4 linked regions of the Notamacropus eugenii genome follow. The protein of the gene in region 1 interacts with the protein of each later gene in a pairwise test. Links are inferred from orthologs where the notes say so. Each region holds a gene or a part of one and is shown in the gene's direction. Other genes may lie near its edges.

Region 1 (7,906 bases):
AATGTGATTAGGAATATTTAACAAATAAGTAAAAAATGCAGCAAAACATAGATAACATTACATTTTAAAACTAAGTTAAGGGATCTTTATGTATGCATTGACACCCCTGGACTAGATCTCCAAAGTATCTTCCAGTGTTGAGTTCTGTAACCCTATTATCTGGTCTGGGCACTTGTCTTCATATACATAAATGACTAGCCATTCTGAACTTTCGAGTTTTTTGTTTCTGTTAGGGGAAAAGGGGAAGCATGTTGATTTTTTTATTATTGTCAAAAAGTGGGATGCTCTAATAGGCTAGAAATTTTTGAGAAAGTAGCCAAAGGTCTCTGGATGGAAATCAAGGCATCGTTTGAAGAGAAGAAGATGCTCAAATGCCTTCCTCTCAGTTCAGAGGAAGATGCCTCCATTTCTTTCTCCCCTCCAGACCGTACAGGCTGACCCCATTCCTGTTTTCCTGGAATCTGGTGGTAGCTGGGTTTTGGTACAGTGTGATTCTGTACTACAGAGTGACAGCATTCAGGGTGCTTTAAGCCACTCTAGGTGCTGACTCACATTGCTGGAACATGACACCCCTGGAAGACTGATGATTTTTCTAAGCTAGATCATTCTCCCATTTTCTTTTTCTTGCCCTTTTGGTAAATCATTATGCTTAGAGGGGTTGCTTTTATTTGTACACCTGACCAAAACTCGTATCTTTTAGTTTTCCCTCTCTTGATAAAAATAATATCTGGTAATTTGTTTTTGTGTGGTCCTGTGATTTAATCCTCATAGGGAAATTCCCTTCACTGATTCAGACCAATTCATGGGGGGACCTTTTAAAGAGTTAGCTGGGGCACTGAGAAAATGTACTCATGGTTACACAGCTAATAACAGAGGCAAGATTGGAGCTTGGGTCTTCCTGGTTTTGTCGATTCTGATAAACTACCTTATAATTGTTTTTGTTTTAAGTTTCACCTTCCTGTGAGGTTAGTGGGGTAGGTATTTTGTTATTCTTGGTCTTCTTTCACCTTGAACCGTCCCCTTCCAATCTTCAAGCCTGCCTTTCATTTGCAAGCGGCTGGGATGTGGGGAAACCCAGGAAGCTACAGACAATTCACAACTAAAGTTAACTCCTCTATATACATATACAGGACATTCCCATTGTTGACCTGAAAACTTGGTTAAAGAAAAGGCAACAGGCTAAATGCATACATTTTATGATTTAATTAATTAATCAGTTCCCCATAAAGAAAACAGTTACATAGCGCTATGGAGTCAGAGGTGACTGACTACCTAGTACAGAAATCATCTGTCTTAAGTACATTTTGTCGTGAGAAAGAAACTCTCCTAATTAAGCAAATCATAAATTGAGTAAGACGGGACAATTAACAAAGCAATGTCAGTCAGGCCTTGGGATTCCAGGCTGGGTAAGCATATGTCTCAGTGATAAGAAAAGAAATCCCACCACTAGTAAGTGGCAGGCTTCCTGCCCTAAACAGATAACTGACACAGGAAGGGGCAAACAATGTTCAATAGAAACCCAGGATGCCTATATTTTCTTTACCATTAATATGCCATAACATAGTATGTGTCTATAGATAATAAGATATAAAGGGAAGTCCCATTATTTAAGATAGTATCTTAGGTTAAAGGTCTCCCAAGGAATGCAGTCAGCTTTGGCTGGCTTTTGCTGACATAGGAAGAGGCATTCTCTGAGTTTGCTTCAGAGAGAACAAAGAGATTATTCCAAAATTTTATATTAAATATTATCACCATGTATCTCATTAATACCCGATGATGGCCCACCAGCAAAAATTCCAAGGGCTAAAGATTCCAAGGACAATTCTTCCAAGAAGCTAGTTCAAAGAAACAGACTGGGTAGCAGTTAGGTGAGAGGTAAAATTATCTTAGGGTGGGACCAGGTGAAAAAGTCTTATATCATGACATAGCTTCCACTTCTCTCTCCCGGAACACCATATCTACTTTCTTTCATGTTAGCAGGAAAATGTCTAGGAGGAGGAGTTTAGTTTAACTGGATTAACTAGGCATTAATAATGGGCCTTTGGCTCCCACCCTTCCTGTTTGAGATATGCACTGTCCAGGCAGATACCCAGCAGTTGATAGACATTCATGATGCATATTTGTCCCTCCCAAATTCCATCATTCACCATTGCTGCATAAAGAAACACCATATTTGGAGATTTTTGCCTCACATTTTTCTGTTCTCCCCCCCATTCCCCCGAATTCCTAGAAAATCAAGTATTTAGTGAGTCCCTACTATGCACCAGATAACTATGTTAGGTACTAGGGAATACAAGAATGAAATACCCACTCTCAAGGAACTTATAATGGGGGAGAAAACAAATAACTAAAAATACAGCATAATTACTGGTTCTTCCAAAAATATACCTTGCATAAGGTGAATAAATGCAAATCTATAGAAAGTAGTTAAATTCAAGTTAGTTTAGCTGGGGAGGGAATTGAGGGGATTAGGAAAGGCTTCCAAATCCTAGGACAATGGAGTTGTAAATTATGTTGACTCACCTAGGAGCAGAGAGGTCACATATGCTTTTAAAAGTAGTCTGCCAAGGCAGGCAACATGTTGCAGTGGGAAGGGTGAAGCTGGACTTTTGCCCTAGTATAGAAAATGTGGAGACTAAGAAAGTTAGCAGATTGAGAGAAAATTAACTTCTGTTGCATAGGAGATGGGATCTCAAAAGCTAGCCAAGCGATGGTGAAGTAGTTTGGGTTACAGGGACAGAAGACTGAAGTTTCTTTGTTCTATCCCTGTCTCCTGTCCCTTAAAAAAAAAAAAATTCCCTCCATCTTTACCCTGTCCTCTCTCCAAGGCTTCACCTTTCTTACAAGGGGACCAGACCAACTTCTACCTCCTCCCTCCCCAATCAAGGTTGAGTAAAGAGCCTGGTTTGTTTCCTTTAGGTTATGTGAGAAGGAACCTCCCCAACACTTAATCTAGTGGAATACAAAGAGCATGGACCTTCAGATCTCATAGGCTGAACTGGATGACCTCTGGGGTCCCTTGCAGCTTTGAAATTCTTGTCTTCTAAGCCACTGAAGCAACAAATTCACCCTCCCACTCAACTGAGTTTCTGTTATTTCTGATATTTCTACATCATTACAAAGTTAATTTTAGGGCACATTCCATATCCCTTGCCCCAGACAGTGTTTGCCGCATGAACTAAAATTCCCAGATATGGCTCTGGGGAAGAATACAAATTTTGGAATCAAAAGACATGTGTTTGAATCCTGACTTGGTTCTGAATCCTGATACCACTACCACTGCTACTACCTACTGCTTAATTCCTGTGTGACCTTGGGCAAGTCACTTTAAACCTGTTTGGACCTCAGTTTCCTCATTCAGCAAAAGAGGACTAGGTGACTTCTAGGCACCTTCTAAATCTATAGTCCTAGGATTCTAACTTCCCTGCCTGGTGGAACAGGGAAGATATGGCTGCTGGCAGCTTAGGGGCAAAGTCCAGAGGAGGAATTCTGTCTTTGGGGAAAGAATGTATGTCAGCTGTCAGTTTGGTGGCCACCTGTGGCTCAGATATCAAGAGGTGGTAAGGGCATAACCGCAGTCACCCATGTTCTGGTAAAATCAGCCTGCGGGCCATCTTTCGCACCTAATAGGCTGCTAACCTCAGAGTCTGCCTTTGCTTATGGTGTTGGCAGGTTTATTGATAATGCAAAAACGCACCACCTTCTGGTTAAACTGGTGCTAACAAGGCCATGGCCAGGGGTTTCATTGTTGTATGGCTTTGTTCTCTTTTTCCCTGGCCACTCCTTAACCAGAGCTGTTAACTAGAAATTCTTTTACCTGGGGCAAAACTAATTCAGGGAGTTGTGTGGGGTGGGGGAGGAATGCCAAATGTAGTGTCAGTAAACAGGATGGTCTGACCAGGGGAACTGGGGGTGACAGTGACAGGGGAACTGGGGGTGACAGTGACAGCTCAGGCAACAGTTTGCCCGTCAGAGCAGTTGCATTGGGAGAGGAGAAGACCTGTTCACCAAGAAATACTATCTATGCCCACTTTGGGATGGGCCCCAGACAAGGAATATTCTGGTGACAGAACCTGGTAAGGAAGCAGGATTGCACAAGCTAGCAGAGGACTTTGAGATGTGAAGTAGTGGGGTAAAGGTCCTGAAGGAGGAGGGAGAAGGTGAGGATCCCCTCCCAATCACAAAATGTAGGTGCTGAAGTAAAGCCCTGGTTATCTTACCCTAGTTAGAGTTACTGTTTACAAAAGGGACAGGTGCACCTTTCCTTCCTCTAAAGAAACATTTTAATGCCTAAATCCTGCAGACAGTAGCACAGATGGCTGGTTATTCTTATTAATACATGCTCTAAGTACAAGGCAGGACACTCACCTTGCATGGAGGGGTGGAGGGAAGTGCCAAGCCAGGATACAGTGTTTCTCTGTGGCTCTCCATCCCCCTGAACCATGGTAAACACCTGAGGAGCCCAGAGGTGCTGACAATGCAAAATGGTTCCCCAAAGGGTGCTGAGATACCACATACCTCAAGTTCTCCTCAAAAATAGATTACTTCTCCTTTTCCAAACTCCGCCCTCTGCCTCTCTCCCTCCCAGAACTCTGATGGACCAGTCAGAAGAAGAAATACCAGCAAAAAATGTCTTGACTGGAACCCCATCAGGAAGTACCTCATAGCAGAGGTTTTCCCAGCTGACTCCACCTTCCCTCAGATTATTGCGTAGCCAGTAGGGTTTCCTATCAAGGTCGGAGGACCAAGGAAATGGGCTGACTAGCACATTGAAGGCTAAATTATAGCCAAGCTGGAAGCTCCAAGAACAAACTGAGAGGTAAGAAGGCTTTGTTATCCTAAGGGGGAGTATGGGGAAGTGTGTAAGTGAGGGAAGTGGGGGAGGGGAGGAAGTGGAGGAGGGATAGTTGGCCAGAAGGAATTAATTTAAAGCAAGGGAAGGTCATTAACCTCTCGCTGAGTAGTCTAATAGGACAGATGCACAATTAGGGACAGGCAGTTTGACACAGTGGAAAGAGTACTGTGTCTGGAGCCAGAGGAATGGAGTTCAAATCCTATTTCTGAAACTTTCTACCTGTGTGACCTTGGCCATGTCACTTAACCTCCTTGGTCCTCCGTTTCCTCATATGTAATATGAGGTTGGACTAGATGACTTCTGAGGTCCCTTCTGGCTCTAAGGCTCTCTCTAGGATCCTATGATAGGGGGTTTCACGTACCCCGGGAGCCAGTCAAGCCAGTCGCTACCAGGCAGGACCAGAATCTTCTGTGTTTATTTCCTCTCACACCTGATTAGAATGCTGGATTTCAGATGTTTCATATCTACTTGGTACCTTGAATCAAATTAAATGTCACAAAGTTGGGTGTGGTGCACTTGGATTTTGGTCCAACAAGAAGACAAAAAGAGTTAGAGTGTTCCCTGTGCCAGTTTCCCGTTGAGTGTAAGAATCAGCTCTCATTTTGACGGAAGTCCCATATGAAAAGGAAGGATAGGAGAAAGTTGAGAAACTAAGATGAAAGGTCATTTGCAAATTCAGTCAGCCAAGGCAGCTTGGAAAGGATTTCAAGGGTAACCTGGATAATTTGAGTCAAAAATTTGCTCTGATCAAAACCAGCAGAGGTTAGGCACTGTGCTAAGCACTGGGGATACAAAAAGAGGCAAAAAGCAGTCCCTGCTCCGAGGGAGCTTACAAGCTAATGAAAGTCTCTGTCTCCCTTGTTTTGTCCTTCCAATCGCTTGTGTGCCTGCTGAGGGGAGGGATAGCCTTTGCAAAGTTTCTCCTCCTGCCTCACTCAGCTGGTAAGGATCTTCAGCTTTTCTGGTCAGTGGAGAGGAATTTACAGAGCTTGTAAGAGTAACAGACATAGTATTCTAAAAACTAGGATGAATTACGAAAACAATCTCACTCCTAGAAAACTGCTCATGAAACTCACCTCCATCCTCTCAGGTAGAGGGGCGAGGGACTGTGGGTGAGGGAAGTGATAATGCCACTAGATGGGACACTTTGTTAGCTCTGCTGAAATGTTGGGGTTATTGGTTGGGGATGTGGAGGGAGGACAGATTAAAGGAAAATAATTGTGGTATAAAAACAAAAGGTAACAATAAAACTTTAAAAAAAATTAGTGTACACAAAACTGCCCACAACGGCTGCAAAGTGTGCCACTATATGATCTTTTCAAACCCCTGTTTCCAGGGGGTTTGGAGTAAGTCATTAAGTTAGTATTTTCACTGAGTTTATAAAGGTAAAGTTCAGAACAGGAAAATATCCTGAGAACTATAGATTATTAGAGTCTGTAGTTAGACAGATTAAATAGAGTCTTGAGATAATCCAGCCAACCACTTTATTTTATAGATGAGGAAACCACGCCTCTGTAAGTTTACATGTCTTGGCCATAGCTCTTCAGTGGCAGAACCAGGACATGAGCCCAGGTCTTATGGAGGCCATGTGTAGTTTCCCTTCTAATGCACTATGGTATCTCTTTAAGAGACCAGTAAGGTGGATATGCCATGTGCTTCTAAAGTCTTTTTTTTTTTTTTTAGAGAAACTAGGCTAGCTCTATAAGAAAGCAGACTAGGGGAAATGAGTGTCTGAATAGCTATATTTAATACTAATACAGCACTCTTGCTTTCTGCTGAAGGCCCAGGCTTAATGACCTGGCTTCTCAGGTGACAGGGATCATAAAAAGGAATATTTCATCACTCCATAGCCAGGCAACGAGAAAGGAAAAATGCAATGGAAAAGAATTAAAGGAAATGAGTCTGTTGTAAATCAGAGAGCAGAGATAGCTGTGTCACTGCCTCACTCATAAGGAAGTAGCCTTGTGCAGCTAATTTCCTTTATTAGCTGTAAATAGTGGGAAGGTTACTTTCAAAATGTGGAAGGCTCCCCAGTGCCCACAGGGACAATTGAGGGACAGAAATCAAGTGGGCCAAGTATTTATTAATGCGCCCATCACATGCCCAATGCTTAAAATTTTGTTGGGAACACATTTAAAGTAAATGGAATGGTGCAGAACAGATTGTGTGGCAGATAATTCTTGCCAAGGTCAATGAGGCTGGAGAAGGCTTCTTTGCTTAGACCTCACACAGTACTTCCTCAATACTAAATCATGGCAGATTGTGTTTTCTAATCATGTGTTTGTGTCATCCCCCAACTGGAGATGTCCCTACTGGACTGTGAACTCCATAGGCTCAGGGATGTATCTCCCCCAACACCTAACAAAGTGTCCCAGATACACACAAAGCTGTAGCAGGTAAGACTAATGGTCACTGGTATAGGAAAGGATGTTTTCTCCCCATAGGGAGACATCCATCTTCCCCTTGGGAGGGAAGGTTGTCTCTTGACTGCCAGTGATTTCCTAAAGAGCCTTCTAAGGACTACCCCAGGAAAGAAACCCATCTTGTTTGGATGTGGCTACCTTGAAAGAAGAAATAAATCCACCCGTCCAAATCCCAAACTCCTCCCCAAGAGACCTGTTGCTTTCATGTTCTTCTTCCAGTTCATTCCCTCTCCCCCTACCAAGCTGGTACCATTATACCCTGCTGAGGCATATAACTCCCAAACCACCTGGCCTGGGGGACCAGCATCAGTGGTAGAACAAGTAGTAATGATGTCTTGTGTTGTCCAATCAATTAATTAATAAACATTTATTATGCACTATTGTGTGCCAGGCACTGTGCTAGGCACAGAGGAAACAAAAGAAGCAAGAGACAGTCCCTGCTCTCAAGGAGCTTATGATCCAATGGGAGTCTCTATCTTCCTTGCATTGTCCCCAATCTTTCCAATAAAGTTTTCCCTAGATATTGGAATTCCCAGGTATAGTTTATGCCTATTCTTTTTTTTAATTGAATTGCATGAGTTGGAATGTAAGTTGACTAATTGGTAGTCTAGACTGAGCAAAGGGAAAT
Region 2 (7,584 bases), on another chromosome or scaffold:
CCTATTGGACATCCAGTTTGAGAAGTCTGAAAGGCAGGTGGAGATGGGAGACTGGAGATCAGCAGAAAGACTGACCCCAATCTGATGAAAAGGATCCATCCAGTCTTTACCTGAAGTCCTCCGATAAGGGGGAATTCATTCCTTCTCAAAGCAGCTTAATCTACTTTGGAATACCTCAGTGTAGGGTCTATCTGGTTTCCCTCTTTAGAACCTCCTCTCATCTCTTTTCACTCTGTTTCTTGGGACTAAACCAAATATGTCAAGACCTTCCTCAATGTTCAATACTTAGAGACAACTTGTGTCTTTGTGCATATGGCAGGTGGACATATTGAATGTCTTTTACAATCCCTTCTGAGTCTAAGGAACTGCAAAGTAAATGGTGCTGGCTTTGGAGTCAAAAAGAACTAGGTCTATGTCCTGTTCCGAAGTTTGCCAGCTGGTACCCTTAGGCTCATCACTTAGGTTGTATGTAGTAAGCACTTAATAAATGCTTATTGACAGCCTCAATTCCTTCATCTTTAAGGCTTACTTTACAAACACTTTATCTGATTTGATCCTCACGACAGCTCTGGGTGGTAGGTGCTATTAATAGCCTCATTTAAGCGATGAGCAAACTAAGGCAGATAGCAGGTAAATGTCTTTCCCAGCTAATAAGTCTCTGAGGTTGGATTTGAATTCAGGTCTTCCTGATTCCAGGTCCTGCACTCTGTGCACTATACCCACCTATTTGCCTATCCTTATCTCTTCCTCCTCCTCCATCATTATTTCTTCCTCCTCCATCTTCATCTTCATCATCATCATCATCATCTCTTTCTCCTCTTCTTCTCCCCCACCCCAACATCTTATTTTCTTATCTTTTCCAGGGGCATTCAGGTCAAAACTGTTCTGAGCCAAGCCATTCTCTGGCTCTTATTCTTTGATGTTTAATGTTTGAAGAATGACTGCACAGATTGATCACTTCTGTTTGCAGTTGAATAAACGTATGGTCAGCTCATTCTCTGTAGGTTTATTCAAAGAGTCCTCTGTTCATCTCCAGAAGCAGATAGGAGGGCAGGAATGACAGATATCTCTTCTTATTCCCATGAGATGGGTATTTTCTTCAGCTGGACCTGTCTTTGAGTACAAGCCGTGGGAGGACCTATAGGATGGCCATCCCCTAAGCAACAGCCCAGTAAAATTTGGAAAGGGAGGGATAGCTTGGGAGGGATGGGTCTTCTGGCTACAGCCAGGCTCAGGACAGCGCAGAGTGGAGGGAGCCATGGTCGTAGTGTCAGAGGACCAGGGTTTGATTCCTGGCAGTGTCACTTAGTACTTTGGTCACCCTAGGCAAGTCCCTTGGCCTCAACTGAGATAGCATGTATAATGCTTTGAAGGTCATAAAATATTATGTAAATGCTAGACATTACCATCATCATCATCAATAATATTAATAAAAGAGAGAATCAGACTCAAGGTCACTACTACTCCATTCCAGCTCTTGACTGATGATCCTAAAAATCTGTATAAAATCAGTGATAACAATAAGGTAAAGCCTGGGGATTTATACTCTCAAAAATGCATTTCACTGCTATTTTAAAATTTTATTTTAAGCAAACTTAAAGGTTTCGTTCTTTTTCAAATACTAAAATCTCAGAAAGGGAAGGCACCTCAATGAGCCGTCAGTCCCATCCCTACCTGACCAGCAATACCCTCGACAACATTGCCGACAAGCGGCCGACTGGCCACATTTTGAGGGGGAAAAATCTATACCTGCACAAAAACATCTTTCATGTCTCTGGTTACAAAATTTTTAAATCTTCATAAAAAGCTGGCTCCATCCACCCACCCACCCCCTCCTCCTGCCACTGAGGTTAGTTCGATCCCGATGCTTCATTTTTTTTGCCCATGGAACACAGACTGAGTCATACTTTCTTCTCTGGTCCTTTCCCATTGGCTGTGATGTTTGGATCACTTAAAAATCAAACATTAAAAAGGGCAGAATGGAACTTTTAATAACACCAAATAAAATGGTCTCATTAAATGTTTCAGTTAAAATGAGGTAAATTCTTTTCCAAAGCCAGCTAAGAGGACTTAACCAAGTGATCAAGCAGGGGGCCCTGGGGCAGTATCCTCACATAGGTTTTAAAAAGCAACATTTAGACTTCCAGCGATGGTCAGTAATTAACAACTTGAAACTTGCAAAGCAAGTCCAGGACAGTTCTACAAAGTTGCTTCAAAACAACTGCCTTTGGCAGGAGCCCTCAATCTTCCCTCCTTAAAAGATAACATGTGTGCCTTGGGTAACCCAACTGGAGTTTCTGACTTTTTTGTTTTAAAATAAAAAACACATCAATTCAGCCAATTATAAAATTGACCAGCCCCCATTTCTATTTGAAATCAATCATTTCACCTCTTGACTCAGTACCAGAAAGTCTCTCCGAGTCCTCGTTGGGCTGTCTATTCACTCTCTTTAACGTTGCCTCTTTGGAGCTAGTGTTTACTTTATGTGAACCTTGTTCTTCTGGGTCAGCCCCCACCCCACTTCGCACAATTTTATAATCGCTGTGTCCCTTACGCTTGTTCATCTTACCCAAAGGATTCTGTTACACGATGTAGCCCAGTTTAACTGCTTGTTTACAATTGTCTACAAAGCTGCTGTGACAATCTTTGTATCTATAGCCCTTCTGGGGTCGGTTGTATTTAAAAGTATACTCCCAGGGAATGTGACTAAAAATTAATGACAATATTAGCTAGCATTCTATATAGCACTTTATGATTTACAAAGAATTTGACAAATATCCCCACAACTACACTTGGCCAGGGTCACACAGCTAGTAAGTGTCCAAGGTCACATTTGAACTCAGGAATTAATGAATCAAAGGGCATGTCTTTTGGTTCACTTTTACTGTGTATTTCCAGTTCTGAGCCTCAGTTGCTTTACTCGCATTCGCTACCCACTAGAAGTAAGGAAAATGCTTGAGAAACCTTTCAGCATTTCCGAAAGGGCGCTCGAGAGAAAGCTGAATTCATCTCCTAAGCCCCTCTCCTTTTACACTCAGGGAAGTTAGGGCCCATCAGGGTCAGACGAAGGGGCGGTCATTTCCACTGTCTCTTGACTGCAGATCCAGTGGTGCTCTAGCCATCGTCCCAAGAATGACAGCCGACGACCTCCCTTACTGGGACTCAAATGCATTGAGAATTGTTTTTCTTTTGGACTCGGGCACAGTGAGTAAAAAAGTGGCGTCTTGTCACTAAACTCTTCATTCTGAAAACCCAAAGCTTTCCTCCCCATCCACCACTGGAGAGAAAATGAAATTCGGCGCTGGGTCCTCCCACTCGCTCCTTCAACAATGAGTCCCATTCAAGCCAAGGGCTGGCATCCGCTGTGCCCGCGGCGCCTGGGTTCCCTCTGAAGGATACAGAGGTGCTTGTGGCAACTTTGTAACTCGGGAAAGAGCGGAGCACGAACATTTCCACGTGATGCATTAGGAGCTTTGCTGAGCGCCATGCTTTGCAAAAGTGGAGGCTACAAGCAAGGACAGCCAGCCTCCCACGAGCGTGGCTCTCCCAAAAGCTAGAGCCAAGCCCTTGCCCGGGCTGGGGCTGCGGCGGCCCTGGCCAGGCTTGCACAGCCGTGGGCACATGGGCGTGCACTGGCAGCCAGCTCCCAACGCGCGCCCCTTCCTAAGCAAAGCCCACCCCAAGTGCAGAGCGGGTCACAAAGCCCCCCAGAAACACCAGCCCGGGGCGGGTGGGGCTCCGGGGTCCGCTGCAGTGCTCGTCCAGGGGACGAGCGGCCCCGGCTCCTTCCGTGCCCGAGCCCCGGCCCAGGTGGCTGCGATCCCGGGCCAGGAGGGCCCGTCCCCCTAGCACTCTCCCGCGCAGAGAGCCGATCGGACCGCTCCACTGGCGCCCCACACTACGGGGGGGACGCCGCCACCTCGGCCCGGCCAGCCGTCGCCCACGCGCGGCCGCCGCCCCTCCCTCGCGCCCCCGGCCGGGACGAGCGTGGAAGGCCACGGCTGCGAGGCCGGGCGCCACGCGCGGGGCTCGCGGCGCGCCCGGAGCGGCCCGAGGCGGGCGGCCTGGCGGCCGTCTCCCCCCCACGGCCGGGAGCCGAGTGCGATCGCTCAGGGGCCCGCGCGTAGCCCGCCCGCCGCTCGGCGTCTGCATTCGGACGTGGGCCGAGAGTGCGGGCTGGCCCCGATACTTTGTAGCGGCTGCGCCCGGGCCGGCCGTTCGCGAACGTCCGCGGCGCGCCCAGCCCGGCCCGGCTAGGAGCGAGCATGGAGCCGGCGGCGGCTGCAGAGGTGAGGCTCGGGGCTGCACGCATGGCCCCTCCGGGCCTTCCCCGGGCGCGCCGGGAGCGCTGCTGGCCACGATGGGTCTGTCTCGTGTTGCACTTGGGCCCGCGTGCGCGCGTGTGCCCCGTGCCCGTGGGTAGGGGCTTGGGGACGCTTCCCGAGCGAGAGCCCCTGGATTCAGGGCTGAAAGGAAGGGATTTCCGGGGACCCTCCCCGTGCACCCCCCGGTTGGGTAAGATGCCCAGCAGACGTTGGGTTGGTTTCTCAGATGCCCCCTTGCCCCGACCCGCCCAGTGAAACACGCTGTTCTGGTCAGTAAGAAATCTGAGTGGAAAAGGAAGGTGAGGGAGCGCGCTGGCCCAGACGGGGTCCCCCAGGACCCCGCGATTGTTTGTAAACTAAAAAGAACGGGGTCAGGGGTGGGAAGGAAGGGGGGGCAGGGCTTGGTGGGGGACCCCAGGGACGCTCGGACCGGGGACCGGGGGCGGGGGAACTTGGAAGGTGGGGCACGGAACTGAGATGCCCCGCTTGTGCAGTGCCCAGCCAGTGTTGATTTAGCGCGCTCCCATTTGGCCATTGGCTGAAGCTGCTCCCCTGGCCAGACACCAAGCCCCTGCTTGGAAAAAGCTTCCAACGGAATAGTTGCCGCTCCTCACATTATTTAATCAAACCGCCGGAAAGTTTGTATTTTGTCTGTGTTGGCAAGCCTATCTTGTGAGATGTATTTGGGGTTTTAGAAACTTTTTAAATGAGGGGAAGAAATAAAAACAAGAAAAATACACATTATTTGTCTGGGCTGGATGGAGGAAGCCAGAATTTCTAGTAGAGTGCTCCTTGTGTGAAACTTGGCTGTGTTAGTGATGCTTCTGGCCTGGGCTCCCTTAGGACCATCCAAGGGGTCATCGAGTCACCAGGATCCTGAAGGCTTAGCAGGGGAAGGCACTGGAGGGGACCTGTTGGGACCCTGAACCCCAGAGACAGCCGGCTCTTGGGAGCTGGAAGGCTTTGGGGCCAGTGGACCTGGCTTCCAATCTTGTCTCCCGGCTGTTCTCAGCCCCCAAGTGGGGAAGTCCATAGAATCCTAGATTAGAACTAAAAAGAGACTTTAGACACCATCTCCCCCAGCCCCCTCACTTCCCAAAGGAGGATTGGGAAGTGGAGAAGTGACTGACTTGGTATCAAGTCTGAGAGCTCTTCCTGATAGGAACGTAAGGGTGCCAGGAGCATTTTGTTAATCAGTTGGATGTGTCAGGACCGAGTCAACTCTGAGGGCTCACAGAGGTAAACGTAGTGCCTGTCCTCAGGGAGCTCACCTTCTGCGTAAAACTAGACTAAAACAAGCGCAGCGCAAGCATTTAATCAGTTTCTTTTCAATTCATGAACTTATAATTTTCTCAGACAAAACCTGGGAGCCACATTATCTGAAGATAGTATATTGTACTGGGAAGAAGGGGGCAGCTGAATTGGAGATTGGAATGTATTATGAGAAAACCTGTATCCCTCCCTTCCCTCTACCACCTCTTCCTTCTCCCTCCCTCCCCTCTTTCCCTTCCTCCTTTTCTGTCTCCTCCCTTTTTCCCCCTTCCCTCTCTTCTTCCTCCTCCCTCTTCCCCCTTTTCCCCCCACCCTCTCTCCTCTTTCCCCTTTCCCCCATCCCCTCTGTCCTTTCTCTCTCAAGTATGTTGAATAAACTTTTTAACTGTGCAGAGTTAAACCCGCAGATCCCAGCCAACACATTCTTTACAAGTTGGAACAAATTGCCATATATAAGATCAGGTGTTTTAAAGAACGGATGAGCTGTACAGATTAAGGTGTTTTTTCTAGTGGAAATGTGCCCTGCTCATCCTCTCAGTGAAAGCCATTTATTTGCAATTCCAGTGAGTGGAGAAAGACTGGGTGGACTGGGACAAAGGTGGTAGCCCTTAGTGACTGTGCCCTCCCCCACTCTGGACCTCAGTTTTCTTCTCTGTAAAGTTAATGGCTGCCAGAGTCCCTTCCAGCTGTGATTCTGATAGCTTTCCTACATGGACCTGCCCTTCCAACTCTCAAATTCGAGGATTGTGTTTAAATAAAACTAGAATAAGATTTGTGGAAGGAAAAGTAGGTTACCATAGCCTGACCAGCACTGAGCTCCAGTAAGCCTTGGCTTTCGGTTGAGTGGAACATAAGTTCCTGAGGGCAGGCTGTGATTTCTCTCTTTGTGCCCAGTGTGTAGTACAGCCATCCCAAAAGCTGGTGAATTGAGCTCATTCAAAAGACTGAAGATGTGGTTTCCTAGAAAAGCAAATAGCTGGGGAAAGAAAAACCTTAAAGCTGCTCCTGGAGGTTGGGAAGAGAAAGGAGAAAAGAGATTGGGAGCTGGGAATCACGGACTTCCTTGGCTCCTTCTGCCTTGGAATTCCACCAGTTAATGAAGGATTGGATTAGAAATCGACAGAATGGAAGAATGCTCTAAGGTCTCAGGATTGTGGCTGCTGGTGTGATGGTGACCTTGGGCAAGTCACTTAACTCTGTTTGCTGTAATCATGGGATGAGGAAATACCAAACCACCCCTGTATCTTTGCCAAGAAAACCCTGTGGACAATATGGTCCCACAGGGTCCCAGAGTCAGACACAGCTGACCCACAACCTAACTGCTTTGTCCTTGTGCCACTTGGCTGTTATTCTGCACACCTAACCTCAGAAGTTACCTGAGGAATTCAGATTTGTATGGAATTCTGGGCCTCTCTTCCTCCCAGCCTTGGAGGTCTCTGCTTTTGACCTTGGGGGTTGTGGCTTTTTCTGCACAAAAGCATGGAAGAGGGTAAGGAATCCTGTGGGTACCGCAGGTGACGCACGTTTCAATTAGCCTGGGAACTACCACTGGCTCTCCATGAATGCTGTGGGTTTTCATTGATTTAGCTGCAAATCTGGGTGGAGGAAGGAGCTACTGGGTTTAGACCCCTAGCACCTCCATTTAGGAATACCTGCATGCACTTAAGTCACTTACATTCTTTGTGCCTCAGTTGCCACATCTGTAAAATGGCTTCAGACTAGACAGCCTCTAAAGGCCTTTCTGGTCGTTTGTAGAGTAAGATCATTTGTGTACATTGGCCTAAATTAGTAAAAGGAGAGCTCAGGGATGTGCCCAGGAGCTAGGCCTGGCATTGCCACTGCTGAACTCAGCACTTCCTAGAATTTTCTTTAAAATCTAATTTAGTTCAATCAGCTATTGTTAAGTGACTGCTATTTTCAAGGAATGGGGCTTTGGGGATCCAAAACCAAGGATCAGCAAAAATTTATTAAGCACGCTGTCATGTGC
Region 3 (8,419 bases), on another chromosome or scaffold:
CTCCCCGGACCCTGCCATTCTCTCCCAGCTCCAGCTGCCTTCCCGCCAAGAGCGCCCGCCAAGAGAAGGCAGCCCGCCAGGGCGGGGACAGAGAAGGCCGGTGCTCGGGCGGAGGAGGCCCGGCCCGGCCGGTGGGCGGGACCGGGAGGCGGAACCGGGAGGCGGAAGCTAAACCAGGCGCTGCCTGGAGAGAACCGGTGGTAGTGGTCACATCGCCTTCAGTCCCTTCGTCATGCCATGTGGGATCACTTGGCTAAGTTACCCGAGTGCTGGGCCATTTCCTTCTCCAAGACCAAGAAGGTTAAGTGACTCGCCCAGGTTCTCAGGGCTAACGGGGCTGAGCTCAGATCCGACCTCAGACAGAGCAATCTTCCGGATCCCGGTCCTGGGCTCTACACACCTGCCACTGGACAGAGCCAATGCGGAGGGGGCTAGGGCGCCCTCCGCCACGGCAAACCCTGCCTGGGCAGTGAGAGGGTGTGCGGGTCTGGTCCCGCAAAGCGACATTAAGAGCTCGGCTTGTGCACTTCGTCCCTTTGTGTCTTAGGCAATCTTACAGGACCTTGGTTTACGTCTCATCCAAATGGAAGCGCCCTCCCCTTTGTCACTGGGTTGTCACGCTTTGAAAACCTTAAAACAGCATATAAAGATGAGCCTGTCAGTGCAGAACTGCAGATTCTCAGAGTTGAAAGGGACCTCAGTGTCCTCCTGGTCCAAATGGCACCTGAGAAATGATTCCTTCTTCAACACAACCGACAAATGGCCAGTTGGCCTCTGCCTGAAAGTCTGCCCTTGGAGGAAACTCAATGGTCCAAGGCAGCCGTTACACTTTGGGGTAGCTCTAACTAAACACCAAGCTAAATTGGCCTCTGCAACATCTGCTCATCACTCCTATTTCTGCCCTCCAAAGTGAAGAATAAGACTGTTTTCTTTTAGAAATGATTGAGAATTATGAACATGGCTGTAACAACCCACTCAAAAAAGTCACAAGAACTCAAAGTGTGGCTGTCCTTTTACCTCTCCAGGTGAAACATCCTTCAACAGGCCTTCATATAACGTGATAATAATGTAATATCATTGGAACCTCAAGGGCCAGAGCCTCAACTAATCAACCAGAAGAAGCAACAGATCTAAGTAAACGCTGAGAACGCCTCCGTGTCAACAAGAGCTGACCTGAGCATTCTTCTATTAATGCCTACCAAGGACAGCGGGCCTTAAGCAGACACTACCTAGAATAAAGGGACTTTCTCTTATCTTAATATTTTATGAACATATACTGTGTTATATCATGTTAATGGTAAAGAAAACAGATATCCTGGGTTGTAATTTCAATCGACACTTTGTCAACTCTCTTATCTTATTGTATTTACAACCTATTCAATTAAGAAAATTCCTTTTCTCATACTATGGTTAAACATATATGGAGATCATAAATTCGAGAGACATAGACATGCTGAGTTGAGATTGCTCTAAAACCTGTTTAAGGCTGGTCATTCTTTTATCAGTCAGAAATCATGTTTTGGCTCTGTGTATGCATGTATCTGCTAGCTAAGGAAATAAACAATATGAATTTCTATATCACCTAGCCTGTTTGGGTCTTTTAACCAAACTTTCAAGTGGACACATGAAATCGAGGCCCTTCACCATGTTGTTCTACCTCTACTGGATCAGCTTATCAATGTCCTCCCTGAAATTATGTACAGTTTTGTGCAGTATAATGTGTTTTGATGCCCCAAAACCACAGGTAATAGTCCAGGTTTGGTCTGAGTAAGGCACAGTAAAAAAGTAATTGGCTTTTAAAAAATGTTTATAGTAAACAATTGTATTTTGGTAACAGCTCAGGTTTAGATATATTGAGTTTCAAGTGTCAATGGAAAATTAGGTAGAGGTATTCTGTAGACAGAAGGAGATACAGATCTGGACATAGAAGAGGAGTCAGATGAGTTATCTCAGTAAGTGGAAGCTGAAGTGGTGGGATTAATCAAATTGCCAAGGGAAATAGTATAGAAATGAGAGAGGGCCAAAAATATAAAAATAGGCAATACCACAAAGAGGAGAAAGAGACAGTGAAAGAAGTGGAAAAACCAAGAAAGTGGTATCCAAAAGGTGGTAGTCAACAGTGTTAATATCTAATGAGAAGAAAAAAGCTTTGATAAACCTGTTAAGCAAACAGAAAATGTGATCTAAGTATTCTTATAAATTATTTTAAAAATTGCAAGGAAAAGAAATATTTGTTCCAATAATGGAAAAAAAAAACTTTTTTTAAAAAACAAAAAAAGGGGAAGAAATTAGTAGACAAAGTTCAGTGGGTTTGAATATGCAAGAATAAAAACTTTGCACAAGAAACTAAAAAATATCTAGTCTAAAATAAAAAGAGTGAGGAAAACAGATTTGTAATGTATCTGATAAAGATTTATCTTCCAGAACATATAAAGAACTGATAGACAGCTATAAAATTAATTTACACTCCCCAATGAGGAATGGCCACAGGTCATGTAAGAGACAGCAAAAGTTAAGTTTCCACAGAAGTTATTATTAGTTGATGAAGTCAGTGAGAATTCAGATAATAAGCCTAGCTGACTGTAGGTGGACTCAACCAATCAAGAGACAGACAGTGGCCTTCAGAAAATTACAAAGTTTCAAATCTACAGTTAGCTGGAACTAGTCAGGGAAAAATGACCTAGAGTTACCAGGAGAAGGCTTTTCTTCACTGAGTTTGCTTAATGAACCTCAAGTATATAAACAGACACTCTCGGCATAATATTATCCCTCCATTTTCTGATCATGGGTCCTATGTTAAAGAATGTGTGGGAGGGGGGATCTCACCAGGGGTGCTTATGTAATGGGCATTTAGAGAAGATCATGACCTAATGGACAATGGACCAATCCGTCTCTTGATGGGATGATCTGTCCTGAGCTAACAGTATAAAGCCAATCTCACTTATGTATCTGACACTCACTCCTCCCCAAAAGAGGAAGGAGGCCCGCTTTGGCCAACGTGTTCAATTCCTCTGAACTCTGCTGCAATAAATTTCCCTTGATACTTTATTAGTGTCAACAGGTCATAAACAATTTTTGAAAAAAAATACAGGTTAAGAACTACATGAAAAGATGTTCAAAATCCCTAATGATAAAAAATGGACAAATCAAAAAACCTGGAAATGTTTTTTGTGCAGTGTGCTCTTGGGCAATTCACTTCCCCTCTAAGCCTCATGTTCCTCATTTATAAAATGAGGGAGTTCTCTTCCAGCTACAGTCATATTCCTTATAACCATTATATTGCCTGAAATGGTAAAAAAAATGATAAAACTTCAGTAGGACACTGTAGAATTCAGTAACTCTGACAAAGCAGAAAACATACATTATTTAGCCAAAAATTGCTGGGAAAACTAGAAGGCAGACTAGCAAAAATTCGTCTCAGATCTATTCCACATTACATTCCCTAAACGTCATATCTACCTTCTGATTAGTCCTGATTTTGAAGTACAGCTGAGAACGATTTCTGAAACGGGAAAAATATCCTTCTCTCCCAGTCCTCTAATCTAAACAACAGGCCAACAACAGGTGGTTTTATTTACTGGTTTGTCTGGGTCTAAAAGCGTATGTTTTATGCATGATTAAAAAACCTTCTAGAATCACAAGGTCAGCTATTGTGTATCAACAAAGCAATCAAACTCTGTGTTCAGCAGCCTTTACATTTAAAGATAGAAGATCTGGTTATAATCCAAGGCTAAAACAATTACCAGTTTTTAAACTGCCCCTACTGCCGCCCCACGGCACTCTACTGCTCACCTCCAGCTCGAGGGTACCTGGAATACCCTTTCTCATCAGCTAAGCTGAGTCCTTTATTCCAAAAGAACACAATCCATTCACAAATCTGCATTATTTACTTCTCTTAGATGCCAGAAAGCTAGATTTTCCTTCACTTCTTTGCACCCCCTTCCGGCGCTCCCCAACAACAGATGCGCAGTAACTACGGGCTTATGGACCGCAGTGCAAACGGACGGAAGGAACACAATAGGCTCCAGCTGGACCGAGAAGACGGCATTTGGGGCCCAGAGGCCTCCCCTGCCTCCCTCCAACCTATTTCTCAACACCCGGGGACCCCCTGGTGGGAATGTAGAGATTTGTGGTGAAAGGGTGGGAAGAGGCCCTGACTTTCATGGTAAAGGGGTGGGATAAAATCAGATAAAATATTAAGTGAAAGTAAAAAGCTACAACAGTCAATCAAGGAACTTGAAAAGCTGCAAACATTCAAACCAGTTAAATCCAGGAGCTCCCGGGCCACCCTCGCTCGCACCCTCCACGGAGGCTCTCACCCCCTACTAAAGGCTGCTCCTGAGCCTCAGCCCACCTTCGGGGTCCCTTCCGCCCTGGATCCTCTGATCTGGAGTGCCGGTGGCAGGGCCGAGGCTCACAACCCAGCCGTCCCTCACGCTCGCGGCCGTGGGCCAAGCCGAGGACGCAACGCCCTTCCACTGCGCAAGGGCCTACCCCACCTCTCGAACCAACGAGAAACCACCTCCCACTCCTCACACGCGTGTTCCTTTCTGACACCCCTAGTCCCACCTGAGATTTCCACTCCCTTCCTCCGAACCCAAGGGGAAAAAGGGCGAGGACACTTGGGAAAAAGCGAATTTCCCGCCCGCAGGCGCAGGCACCGCCCCGATCTGCAGGTCACGTGACTCGACGCCTGCGCACTGACAGCCCGCGCGACTCTCCTCCCCGGGCCGTCCCCCTAAGTCATCCACGATCCCACAATTCACCAATCAAGCGCTCTGTGGTGCACTTCCGGTTCCTCAGGGCTCCCGGACTCGCTGCTACATCCGGAAGAGAAGGGAGGTCGTTGTACGTTGTCTGTGTTGACTGTTCTTCGTCTCAGGTTCTGGAAAGGCAGCCGCCGCCGCTATTGCCATCATGTCGGTCCCGAGCGCCCTCATGAAACAGCCCCCCATTCATTCCACGGCTGGGGCCGTCCCCGTTCGCAATGAGAAAGGTAAGGGGCCCAAAACCTTCCCGCCGGGTTTTCTGACAGCCAGCGACCCCCCTTTTTCCCCGTGCTTCGGTGCCCTGCGACCCCCGACTCCTACCCCCCCAAGCACGCTACACCAGAGCCGGCCCCCCCAATTTCTGGCTTTCCTTCGGAGCTTCCTCCAGCCTGTCCCTCATCGTTACCACTTTGACCTGCCCTTCATCAGTCTTCTCCTGAGCCCCATTTATGGGTCATGAAGCCAACTTTACTCCCAGACCTCCTTCTAACCCCAGCCCTCTGAGTCCGCGGTCCTCACCGCAGGGACTTGCACACACCCCGTCCTCCTCCTCCCCTCGTTCTGCAGGCGGACGTTGATTGTCTGGGTCCGATCATGAGTGTATACACTTATAAAGTAGAGGAACCTTGCCCTCAGAAAGCTTACAGTGTTACTGTAAGGGGGGAGGGAGGCGGAGAAAGAGTGACAGGATGAGTTGCGTGCATAAATGCATACGTAAATATTTATAATACAAAATAAGTGTCCTAAGAACGGCGCTGTGGCTAATTAGAGAAGGCAGCAAGGGGGAGGATGAATTGAGTAATAAAGGATGGACACGTTGTGGTGTGGTCTGTAAATGAATAAACATTTATTAAGCCCCAGCTGTGTGACACACGCTGTACTAATGGGTGGGATTACAAAAAGACCAAAGCCAGCGTCTGCCTTCAACGAGGTTACAATGTAACGGGGAGACAACGCAAATAAAGAAATTGAACAAGCTATGATACCAGATAAATAGGAAATTGTTAACAGAGGAAAGGCACTGAAATTGAGAGGGGTTGGGAAAGGCTTCCTGTAGAAGGTGGAATTTAGTTGGAACTTAAGCTAGGGAAGTCGGTAGTCAGAGGGGAGGAGGGAGAACATTCCAGGCGTGGGGGACGATCAGAGAAAATGCCCAGAGCTGAGAGATGAAGTGTGTTGTTGGTGGAACTAGGAGACCAGTGTCACTAAATCAAGGAGTACTCTTTGGGGAGGAAAGTATAAAAAGACTGGAAAGAAGGAGGTAGGAGGGGGCTCGATTATGATGGGCTTTGAATGACAGAGCATTTTACATTTGATTCTGGAGGCAATAAGAAGCCACTGGAGTTTGAATATGGGGATGGGTGGCATGATTGGACTTACCAGTGGCTGAATGGAGGTCATACCTATAATAGGGAAAAATCTGAGACGGGCAGACCCACCAGCAGACTATTACAGTAATCCAGGTGTGACGTGATGCGGGCAGCAGAGTGGTGGCAGTGTCAGAGAAAAGAAGGGGACCATATTCAAGAGAAGTTGCAAAGGTGAAATTGACACAGGTCTTAGCACCAGCTTGGGTGTGGGAGTTGAGAGATAGTGAGGAGTCCAGGATGACTCCTGGATTGCTAGGTTGAAGACCAGGGAGGATGAGGTTGCTCTGTACATTTGTGGCCCGAGTGCGGAGGGGATTAAGAGTTTAGGGGGAAAGATAGAGTTCCATTTTGGACATAATTTGAGTTTAAGATGTCTACTGGACATCCATTTGGAGATGTCTGAAAGACAATTAGAGATCCAAGATTAAAGGTCAGCAGAGAAATTGGGGTAGGTAGGTAGTTTTGAGAGTCATCAGCACAGAAGTGGTAATTAAATCTATGGGAGCTGATGAGATCAACAACTGAAATGTAGAAAAGGGTCAACAAAGGAGACAGAGAAGGAGCAGTCAGATATGAGGAGGACCAGGAGAGAGTAGTACCCCCAAAACCTCGAAGAGAACATCAAGGAGGGGAAAGTGATCAACAGTGTCAGAGGCTGAAGAGAGGTCAAGGAGAATGAGGATAAAGAAAAGGCCATTGCATTTGGCAGCTAAGAACATTTGTAACTTTGGAGAGAACAAGGCAATCATGGAGCCATTAAAGGTTGGAGGACATTGAATCAATTTTGGAAAATTCATCTTAGATCAGTGTGCAAATGAATTGGAAGGGTCAAAAGCAAAAAAACAAGGAGGCCAGCTAAACAATTACAGCAGTCTAGTTAAGTGCTTACGTTGGGACTGAGCCAAGATGGTGGAGGAGAAGGACAGACCTGCTCTAGCTCTATCCCCATATCCCACAGATAAGGGATTAAACTAGGATAGAAGTTGTAGAAATGGAAATGAAGGGATGAATTCAAAAGATATTGAGGAAGGAAGAATCAAGACTAGATGTAAGGAGAGGGAAGAGTTAAAGACTACTTTAAGGTTTTAAACCAAAATGATAATAAAAATAGGAAGTCAGGTAGGGGTGCAGCTGAGGTAACGAAAAATGATTAGTTTTAGACATTGATTTTGTGGGGCTGGCAGAATGTCTAGCAGCAAGTTAGAAATGCAGAACTTTTGCTTTCACCTAATACTTCCACTTCCTCACCACCTTTTCTATCACAGCTGTGCTTTCAAAGGCCCCCGCCCATCCTAATCACCAAATCAAATGTCAGTTTTTGGTCCTCATTCTCCAAGAGCACTCTGCAACATTCAGTACTTGTTAACCAGTCCCCTCCGGTATAATAGCTCTTTCTTCCACTTACCATCAAAAATGTCACATTTCTGTTGTGATGAAATAAACTACCTCTCTGTTTCCTTTACTAATTCTTCATCTCCCTGACCATCTATTATAAACCCTCTTCTGTTCTTTCTTCAGTCTTTCATCTAATAATCTCATTCACTATTACCTCTACATAGATAATAGCCCTGAGTTCTAAACACATCTTTTTGTCTACAGAATCTCTACTTTTGTAGTAGACATCTCAGACTAACAGATCTGAAATCAAAACTTATTTTTCCAAAAATCTATTCCTCTACCCAACTTCATTATTTCAATAGCTCTACCATTTGCCCATGTTCAAAACCATGATGTTACTGTTGACTCTTTTTTTTTTTTTTACCTTTCATAGCCACTCAGGTACCAAGGCATGTTAATTTCATCTCTGTCATCTCTTGTATTCCTCCTACCCTTTTTTCCCATTGCTACTGTACTATACTACTGTATAGTACAGGCCCTCCTTGCTGCCTGCCTAAGCTGTTCAGGATTCTCCTAATACATCTTCTATCCTCCATGCTATCCTACACATCCTTTACACAATTGACAGACTTCTGTTCTTTATGCATAGAACTAGCCATATAAGCTGCTAAAACTCATCAGTAAGCCCATATTATCTTAAGTTGTCTTTGGTTAAGAACTCCTGGGCTAAAGTCCTTTCTAGTGCCAAATCCTATCCTGTGAACTAAATGTATCTCCCCTTAGTGCTGGTACACAAGAATAAATAAATTCATTTAATAGAATTTACTAGAGATTAAGAGAGAAATGGAATGTTATAGATAAGTTTTCATGTTGTAATTGTGATGTCAGGAGTGTCTGCAAAGAGTGTTTTGGAAACTAATGAGTTACCTTCCTCATCCAGGG
Region 4 (7,797 bases), about 250 Mb from region 1:
TAGGGCCTGGGGTTTGGTGGGATTTAAGACCTATAGCTGCCCCAGCTTTTCTGTTACATTGGGCTGTAGGTTCCCAGTCTGTAAAATGGATCAAGGACTCTTCTTTCTTGTCCTTCCCTTTATACCCACTTGAGGCTGTTCTCAATTCCCCATCTTCATGGCTTGGTTTATTGAATTTGGTATCAAGAAAACCTGAGTTCAAATCCAGCTTTAGATACCTACTAGTTGTGTGACCCTGGGCAAGTCACTTAATATCTGTTGGCCTCAGTTCCTCATTTGTAAAAGAAGAGAATTGTACTTGATGGCCTCTAATTTCTAAATCTCCATTTCTAAATCTCTGATGCTCTGATTCTTTCCAGGGAAGGTGCTTGTTCACTGTGCCATGGGGCTCAGCCGCTCTGCTACTCTGGTCCTTGCCTTCCTGATGCTCAGGAAACAGCTGACCCTGGTAGAAGCCCTGAGGACAGTAAGTGTCCATCGAAACATCTGCCCCAATCGGGGGTTTCTTTCCCAGCTGCGTGACCTGGACCTCCAACTTAGCCAGGAACAGCAAAAAGGGAGCAGAGAGAAACTGATGCCACCCACCCCTCTGCCCTGAAAATAAAATGACTGTTTTTAAAAAATATCAAAGGTTTACTGACATTTCACTAGGTTCAAAGGGTCTACCAATGGGGTTATCTTCCCTTAAGAATGTATTGGAAGGGTGCAGATCTGAGAGCTAGGACTTTTTTTCATTTAGAACTGTGCACATGTGTACCTGTGAAGACTGAAGTTGGCAGGGATCAAAATGGTGGAGAGACACTGTGAGGTGAGATAGGAGAACTTTGCCAAGGTTCCCTTTGAGATATTTTGAGAGATTTTTCAAAGGTTCTAATGGGTTGGAGATGTGAAGACCTCTGAGCAGGTTCTGGTCACAAACTGAATTTCTGTTCAGGGTCCAGGAAATATACGATAGTCATTCCTCTGTATAACCTTTCCCAAAAGCCACTTCTCTGAACTCTAGGCTGCAAACAGTGGCCCATCCTTCACCTGGACAGAATTATGGGTCAGATTCTTACAGAAAGGACATCTAGCTTTTGCAAAGCATAGGCCAAGGAACTGGACTTCATTTCCTGGCAAAATCCTCCCAGGCTCCTTGCTATTTTCACCTGTGATGTGGCATCCTGAGGGTGAACACAGTCAACTCAGTGAAGATAGAGGGCATAATAAGCATTGACATAGCACCTACTATGTGCTAGGCACCATGCTTTACAAATATTATCTCATTTGAATAGCATTCAAGCTTCTCTCTTTCCACACTTTTCTTAGCTTTGCTCTCTGCTCATCTTTCTTTGTGGTACAACCAAGGGTAGAGGGGGCAGGGGAAAGGAGAGAAGGTGTAACAGACCAGGAAGGGACTGGACATCCAGGTGGCCAAGAACAGGTGGTCTGTTGGTGAGCCCAGTTTCCTTTCTCCATCACACCTCCAGTCCTAAGTGGTACAAGACCATAATCATGAGCCTTGTTCCATTTTGTTTTCTACCCTCTATTTCTACATACTAATAAAGACTTGAAAAGAATACCCACACATTTTTAAATCCCCTTGGCCAGAGATTAGCTGCTTACAGCCTTCTCCTGCATTCCTCCCACCCCCAGCTCCCAACAATCATTGACACATACCATATATATAGCTGAGGCTGTGGCTAGACTTGCCGTATCCTCAGTGTGCAGAGTTCTGATTATGGGTCAGAGGGGGTGGTGGCAGGTGGCAGGTGCCAGGACTGCCAGACAGGGCTCAGTCTCACACCCTTGCCATGCCATCATCTCTGCAACTTCCCCTCCTGGGAATGAACGGGACTGATTGCCCCGGGTAGGGTGGGTAGTAAGAAGAGGAGGGCGGAAGGGGGGGAAGCAGATCATGGTTTATAATTAAACACAAATCCAAAATAGAAGCAGCCTCAACAGAGCAGAGACAGGCAGCTGGGAACCTGCCTATTGGGAGACTATAGCCATCGGCTGGAACCAGGCTAGGCCCCCTCCACAGGTGAGTGCCTCCCCCTCCTCACCCCATTCTAGGCATGCCTCGAAGGGCACAGCCCCTTGGTAGCATGTGCTTGGGGGTGGCAGGGACACACGTGGGTTGTGGTAGCTGGCTGTGTGGGGAGAGTTAGAGCCACCTGACCCACACAGACAAATAGATAGGAGTCAGAGACAGAGGAAAACTGATAGTTAACAGTGTGACCCATCACCCTTCTCTTCTCAGCACAGACAAGACAATCCTGAGCTGTGTAATTATATGAGGATGGCAAAGGAACAATTAATTACACCTGAGAGGTAACCTGATAGTGTGGTATAGTGATTAGGGAGCCAGTATGGTATAAGGGAAAGCACACTATGTCTGTAGTTTGAAGTAGTGGGTTCAAATCCTAAGTCTGTCACTATCTTTAAATTATTTAAATTCTTCTAGGCCTCAGTTTCTTCATCTGTAAAATAGGGAGAGGCATTCATAGCATATCAGCTAGAGAACTGATCTTGAAGTCAGGACAACTTGGGTTTAAGTCCTTGGCCACGTGACCCCGGATAAGTCACTTAAACTCTTCCTGCACCAGGTGACTCCCTGAGACTGACTTATTGAGTTTTCTCACCTGAGAAAAACCTTTACCAAAGAAATCACCAGCTCAGTCCTCATCCTCCTCCCTCACCCAAAATCAAGAGAGAAGACTAGACCACTAAGGTCCCTTCCACCTCTGAATCTATAGTCTTCTAAGTGTGGGACTTGAGATAGGAAAGATCTGGAGTGGAATTGTTTCTTCTTAAGCGAGTGATCCTGGGCCAGTCAATTACCTCCCTTGAGTCTCAATGTCTTAAGTTAATAATGGATGACCCATGGGTTCCTCTGTTCTCAGATTTTTAGGGATCCGTGGGGGAAGGGAGGGAGCTTCTCAGATGAAAGATGGAGACAAGGGATGGGATTGAGGGTAAGAGAAAGGGAGCTGCCCAGGAGTGGCTGACCCTGGATGGAAGGCAGCATTTCTTTCTACCTGTGAGAGAGAAGGTTGTAAGAGCCCTCATGATTTCACTTTTTTATATCAGGGGTTCTTAACCCTTTGTATGTGCGTGTTTCCTGGACTGCTTTGGAAGGATCTAATGAAGCCTGTAAACTCCTCAGAATGTTTTTAAATGCAGAAAATAAAATACATAGGATTATAATACTTATGCATAGGATTAAAATATATAAGATTCAATACTTATCAAACTATTAAAAAAAAATCACTGACTTCAGGTTAAGAATCTCAGAATAAATTTTCTCTTTTGAAGCTCTTTACAATTTTATCCTCCCCTAGGCTAGATTGGATTATTTTCTATAAGCACAAATCCTGACCCTTCAGCTCCCCCAGACCAAAAATCCCAACAGAAATGACTTGGATCTGGTCTTAAGACAAGGCAGAGGCTAGGAGCAGGCCAAAAGCAGCCCAGGGCAAACAGCAACCAGTGTAGAGATCTGCCTCTGTATTTGTTTGCCCCTGGAAATCCAGAGCCTCAGTGCCAACAGGGTAGAGGGGGTGGGTGGGTGGGGAAATATCCCTTGGAAGAATAAGGATTCCCCTGTTATCCTCATCCCTTCTCACCCTGATCAGGGTAGTCCCTGGAAAGGATCCCTAGGATCCTTGATTTGTAATTAAAAGGAACCTTACAGGCCAGAATTAGGGATCTTGAACAAGAAAGGACTTCAGTAGCCATTTTACAGATGCTGAACTGAGAAAGTGACTTGCCCAAGGTCTTACAGGCCACAAAAATTAGAGACCAATTTGAATCCTCTGTTTCCCTGGGCTAGGTTAAAATGATTTCTCTGGTGAGAAATGGGGAGGGCCTCTGAAGCTGTCCAGGATTTCTCTGCTCAAAAATCCTTTCTGCAGCGAAAGGTGCTAAGCTGTTGGTTGAAGTGAGTGTCCCAGGGGAAGGAGGGTTGTTGTATTGTTTAAAGGTCTTCTTGGGTCTGAGATATTGGGGTTTCCATGCAGTTGGGCTGCAGAGCATGGGGTTGGCCACGGGAGGGTAGTCTTACCCTATGTTTGATTCTGGGAGGCCAGAGAAAGGCTTGGCAAAGGGAGAGTTGGGTGGGACCAGGTCTCTCCATCAGAATTATAGCAGGGAGACAGAGTGTCTGGATTCAGGGGGCAAGAGCTTCCTGAAAGCAGCCCCCAGACTCAACCTGATCAGAATCAAGGCTGCAAGAGCCCTGGGATGACCAAGCCTGGCCAATTGGCGGGGCCAGTCCCTGGTTACCTCCTGTTGTTGGTGGTTTGTTATTGGCACCCACTGTAACCTCCCTTCTTTCCTGCCAACACCCCTTCTCCGGGGCCCCTTTAAATGACATCATATGAGGCCGCTTACTCTGCAATCTGTCCTGGACTAGCTGATGAGTACATCGATGCCTTGAGACAGCTTGATGAAGCTGTAGCTCAAGACGGGCTCCTCTTCTGGGCAGGGATAGCTCAGGGCCTCCCTCCTCCCTCCTGCTCCCCCCTCCCCCCCCAGAAACTTCCATGTCAACCAGCTGGAATTCTAGACGCTTCACAGCATCTGTGTTCTCAGATGGAACCTCCACCCCCTGTTCTGATCCCTACTGTTGAGTCCAGCACTGCCCTGGCCCCCAGAGCCTCCAGACTCAAGCCCTAGACCATGCTCTAGGTAGGTGGGGTCATATATAGGTAAGATGCCCATTATTGGGGAAGGGTTGGAGGTCTCTTCCAGGGTCAGGCAGTACTTCCGTGGGCTTGAGCTTAGTTCCGATTTTAACCTGTGAAATCTGCAGAACCCCACAGTCAGTGTTTCCTGGGAGTTCAACTCTCTGGGTCAACAACCATTTCTACCATCAGCTGGCTGTAGGAGTTTGGACAGGTCATTCAGGTTCTATAGGTTTCTCTTTACCCCTGCTGCCAGGTTTTAAGCTGAGATTATAGGCCTTTATCCCATCAAGTGGAAGATTTCCTCTTATGTTGTCCCATATGTGATTACCCTGAATGGGGGGGGTGGGGTGCTCTGAGAAAGAATGCACCACCTCCAACCTCCATCCCACATGGACTAGCCACAGTATGCAGGATGGGAGGTCAAAGCCAGAGGGACACCAGACCCTGATATATATGACCCCATAGCTTTATAAGCTCCAACTTCCTTAGGATTTCTTTGTATAGCTAGCTATCCAGATAACCCACTTTCCTGGACAAGATACAGCCAGTGTCCCCATTTCTGTGCCCACTAGGGCCCTGGAAACATACTCTGTCACCCCAGAATAATGGTTCTGGATACAGTTCAGGAATTTAAAGAAGGAGAGAAGGAAAGTTAAGGCTATGTCTAACCTTTCCTCTATCAGATGGGAAGGTTCACTGCTATCAGAGGTCAGGGTCTCAATGGGGAATTGAAGGATGGGAAGTTTATGACTATTTTCACCAGGAGTCCCAGGGGCAGAGTCAGCAAAGAACACCTGATACTGGGAGAGGAACCTGTAGAGTCCTGTGGTTACATCAGCCACACTCTTGGGTACGGCCCAGGTGGCAGACAGAGAATAGAATAGGACATTACTGTCCCTGCTCCAGGTAGAAGTCACTTCAGTTCCTAGCTGCTTCAGCCTCATGTGAGTGTGGTCCCCAAGCTTACCTGGGAAAATTGTGAGAAGGATTTGGATTCCCTTGCCTACCCCCTACACCCAGGGCCAGGTGCCCCTTGGGTCTAGGGACTTACATGCAAGTACTGTATCCACTATGTACTATGAAAAGAAGCCCAGGAGACAGCAAGCCTTCCATGTTTACTGAACTCTTCCAGCCTGGCTTATTTCCAACATGAGGTGGTGGACCTGGCCCAGGTAAAATTGGTTCTTGTTAAAATTGTGAAGTCACATCATTTTCTTTTAGACACCTTTCACTCAGCTTGTATCCTATCCTCTGAGTCTTGTCCAACTCATCAGCTAGTTGTCATAAAGGTTTAGAATGACAGCCTTAAGGTATCACCCCTCTCCAAGGCAGCAGACAAGGCTGCTACTTGGGAAAAGACTAGTACGTATTCCTACAAATAACAAATTATATACCCCCTTAATTTCCAAATTGTTCCTTGAACTCATTTCCCTTTATCTCCTAAATCAGGAGCAGCCTAACAATCAGAACAAGAACCCTGGTGTAATAGAAGTTACAAAGGAAGCTTATAGCTTTCCTTGACTGGTAGACCTTTTTTTTTCTTTTTTCTTTTAATAAAACAATACTTTGAAGTTCAGTTAATGGAAGACAGTATATATTCCATAGTAGTAATAATAACAATAATAAATTAAAAAAGTCATAGAATCACAGAATTTTCAAGAGGGAAGGGTCACATACTTAACCCTTTTCCCCAGGATGCTTATAGATCATGTCCATCCATTAAAATGAAGGAAAAACAATTCAAACTCCAAGCTAGTCCATTCCAATCTGACTCTCAGGGAGTTGGGACAAGGAAGTTGATTAGGATGGGAGGGACTGAGGTCCCTCCTTACTTCCAGATTTCTGGTCCTGTTTTGCTGAGGAAAGGGAAGTGGGTTTTGCTGAGGAGTACATTAGGGGAAAAATCACCTGTTCAATTTAATTCAGTACCTACTATGTGCCAAGTCCTGGGCAATCCAAGAATGATATTGTCCCTTGTCACCACTGCACTCTGCTATCCATGAGTAGGACTCTGGAAAAGGTCTAGAAAAGGTTAGCTTGACCTGTTTAGGCCCCAGACAAGTATGTGGCTAAATTCTGTAGCCAATGGGCCACAGTACTGAGATCCTGGGTGGCCTCTACTGGGTGTTAATGGGCAAGGAGGTGCTAGTCTATGAGAAGAAAGAATGGAAATCTAGCTTCCCTTGAAACAAACTGAGAGCCCTGAGGGGCAAGGGATGACATAAGCCCTGCAAGGGTCCCTTATCTCCTCTGTCTCATGGCTAAGCCCAAGCAAAAAACGCTGGGGAGGCATTGGGCAAGACCCATAGCCTTGCCTCTGTCTTCCTGATCCTAGCAAAATGATCTCTATTTGCCACCCAGGAAAGGCAGAGGTGAAGGAAAGAAAGTTGGTATGGAATTACATAATGGGAGAGAATTTTAAAGATCACCCAGTCCAACCCCCTTTTATACTCAGAGCCCCATTCAATTAACTAAACTCCCAACACCCATTCATTTTTCCCAAAGCCATTTCCCAACTCCCCTTCCATGGTTGATTATATAAAAGTCTCTCTTCTCTCATCTCTTCACTGCTAAGAGAGACAGATGTCTCTCACTCCCTCTATAAAAACACAAACAAAACAAAAAACCAGGTATCTTTCCTCGTGGTGATGGGAGAGACAGCTTTTCCTGGATTCTGGGACTTATTCCTCCTCCCCCCTTCCCTTCCACTTCCCTCCTCCCTCCCCCAGGGCCTGCACAAGGACAACAATGGGATGCCCTCCCCTGTTTTCCAGGATGGACTCACTGCAGAGACAGGACCTGCGGAGGCCCAAGATCCATGGGGCAAGCCGAGTTAGCACGCAGAACCTTGTCCCCTACCAGACACCCACCCTGGCCTACCTGCAGCGCCTGCTGTGGATTCGAAGGGCCTCCTCGATGAGTCACATCAATGAGGTCTGGCCTAACCTCTACCTGGGAGACGCGTAAGCCCACCTTCCCCAACTTAACAATGATGGGAGGGAGACACACCTCTGAGGAAGCAGTGATGGGCTTCTCAGGGATGACTTTTTCCTGAGGAATCGTTGAAAGGCTCAGCCCCTAGGTACCTCTCCCTGGTAGCAAAGGAAAGAAGGGGGCAAAGTGGGGG

What was found.
Region 2: the proteins of CARD9 (region 1) and CDCA7L interact in binary tests that used the Homo sapiens proteins (3 or more experiments, as listed by UniProt). The link is inferred for Notamacropus eugenii from reciprocal best matches to the Homo sapiens genes CARD9 and CDCA7L.
Region 3: the proteins of CARD9 (region 1) and MFAP1 interact in binary tests that used the Homo sapiens proteins (3 or more experiments, as listed by UniProt). The two-hybrid records come from large-scale screens. The link is inferred for Notamacropus eugenii from reciprocal best matches to the Homo sapiens genes CARD9 and MFAP1.
Region 4: the proteins of CARD9 (region 1) and dual specificity protein phosphatase 13B-like interact in binary tests that used the Homo sapiens proteins (3 or more experiments, as listed by UniProt). The two-hybrid records come from large-scale screens. The link is inferred for Notamacropus eugenii from reciprocal best matches to the Homo sapiens genes CARD9 and DUSP13B.

What each region holds. Positions count from the first base shown.
Region 1 is NC_092872.1:489,795,376-489,803,281, forward strand, and holds the start of CARD9 (caspase recruitment domain-containing protein 9), read left to right. Parts: upstream 1-4,716; 5' UTR 4,717-4,819; exon of another isoform or gene 4,820-4,864; intron 4,865-7,906. UniProt on the Homo sapiens protein: Adapter protein that plays a key role in innate immune response against fungi by forming signaling complexes downstream of C-type lectin receptors.
Region 2 is NC_092874.1:14,239,680-14,247,263, reverse strand, and holds the start of CDCA7L (cell division cycle-associated 7-like protein), read left to right. Parts: upstream 1-4,042; 5' UTR 4,043-4,265; coding exon 4,266-4,289; intron 4,290-7,584. UniProt on the Homo sapiens protein: Plays a role in transcriptional regulation as a repressor that inhibits monoamine oxidase A (MAOA) activity and gene expression by binding to the promoter.
Region 3 is NC_092878.1:54,058,569-54,066,987, forward strand, and holds the start of MFAP1 (microfibrillar-associated protein 1), read left to right. Parts: upstream 1-4,745; 5' UTR 4,746-4,917; coding exon 4,918-4,996; intron 4,997-8,417; coding exon 8,418-8,419. Other genes in the region: WDR76 (WD repeat-containing protein 76), read right to left, coding at 1-18. UniProt on the Homo sapiens protein: Involved in pre-mRNA splicing as a component of the spliceosome.
Region 4 is NC_092872.1:235,270,891-235,278,687, forward strand, and holds the start of dual specificity protein phosphatase 13B-like, read left to right. Parts: upstream 1-4,582; 5' UTR 4,583-4,671; exon of another isoform or gene 4,672-4,691; intron 4,692-5,756; exon of another isoform or gene 5,757-5,819; coding exon of another isoform or gene 5,820-5,842; intron 5,843-7,399; 5' UTR 7,400-7,418; coding exon 7,419-7,633; intron 7,634-7,797. Other genes in the region: dual specificity protein phosphatase 13B-like, read left to right, coding at 360-598. UniProt on the Homo sapiens protein: Dual specificity phosphatase that dephosphorylates MAPK8/JNK and MAPK14/p38, but not MAPK1/ERK2, in vitro. Exhibits intrinsic phosphatase activity towards both phospho-seryl/threonyl and -tyrosyl residues, with similar specific activities in vitro.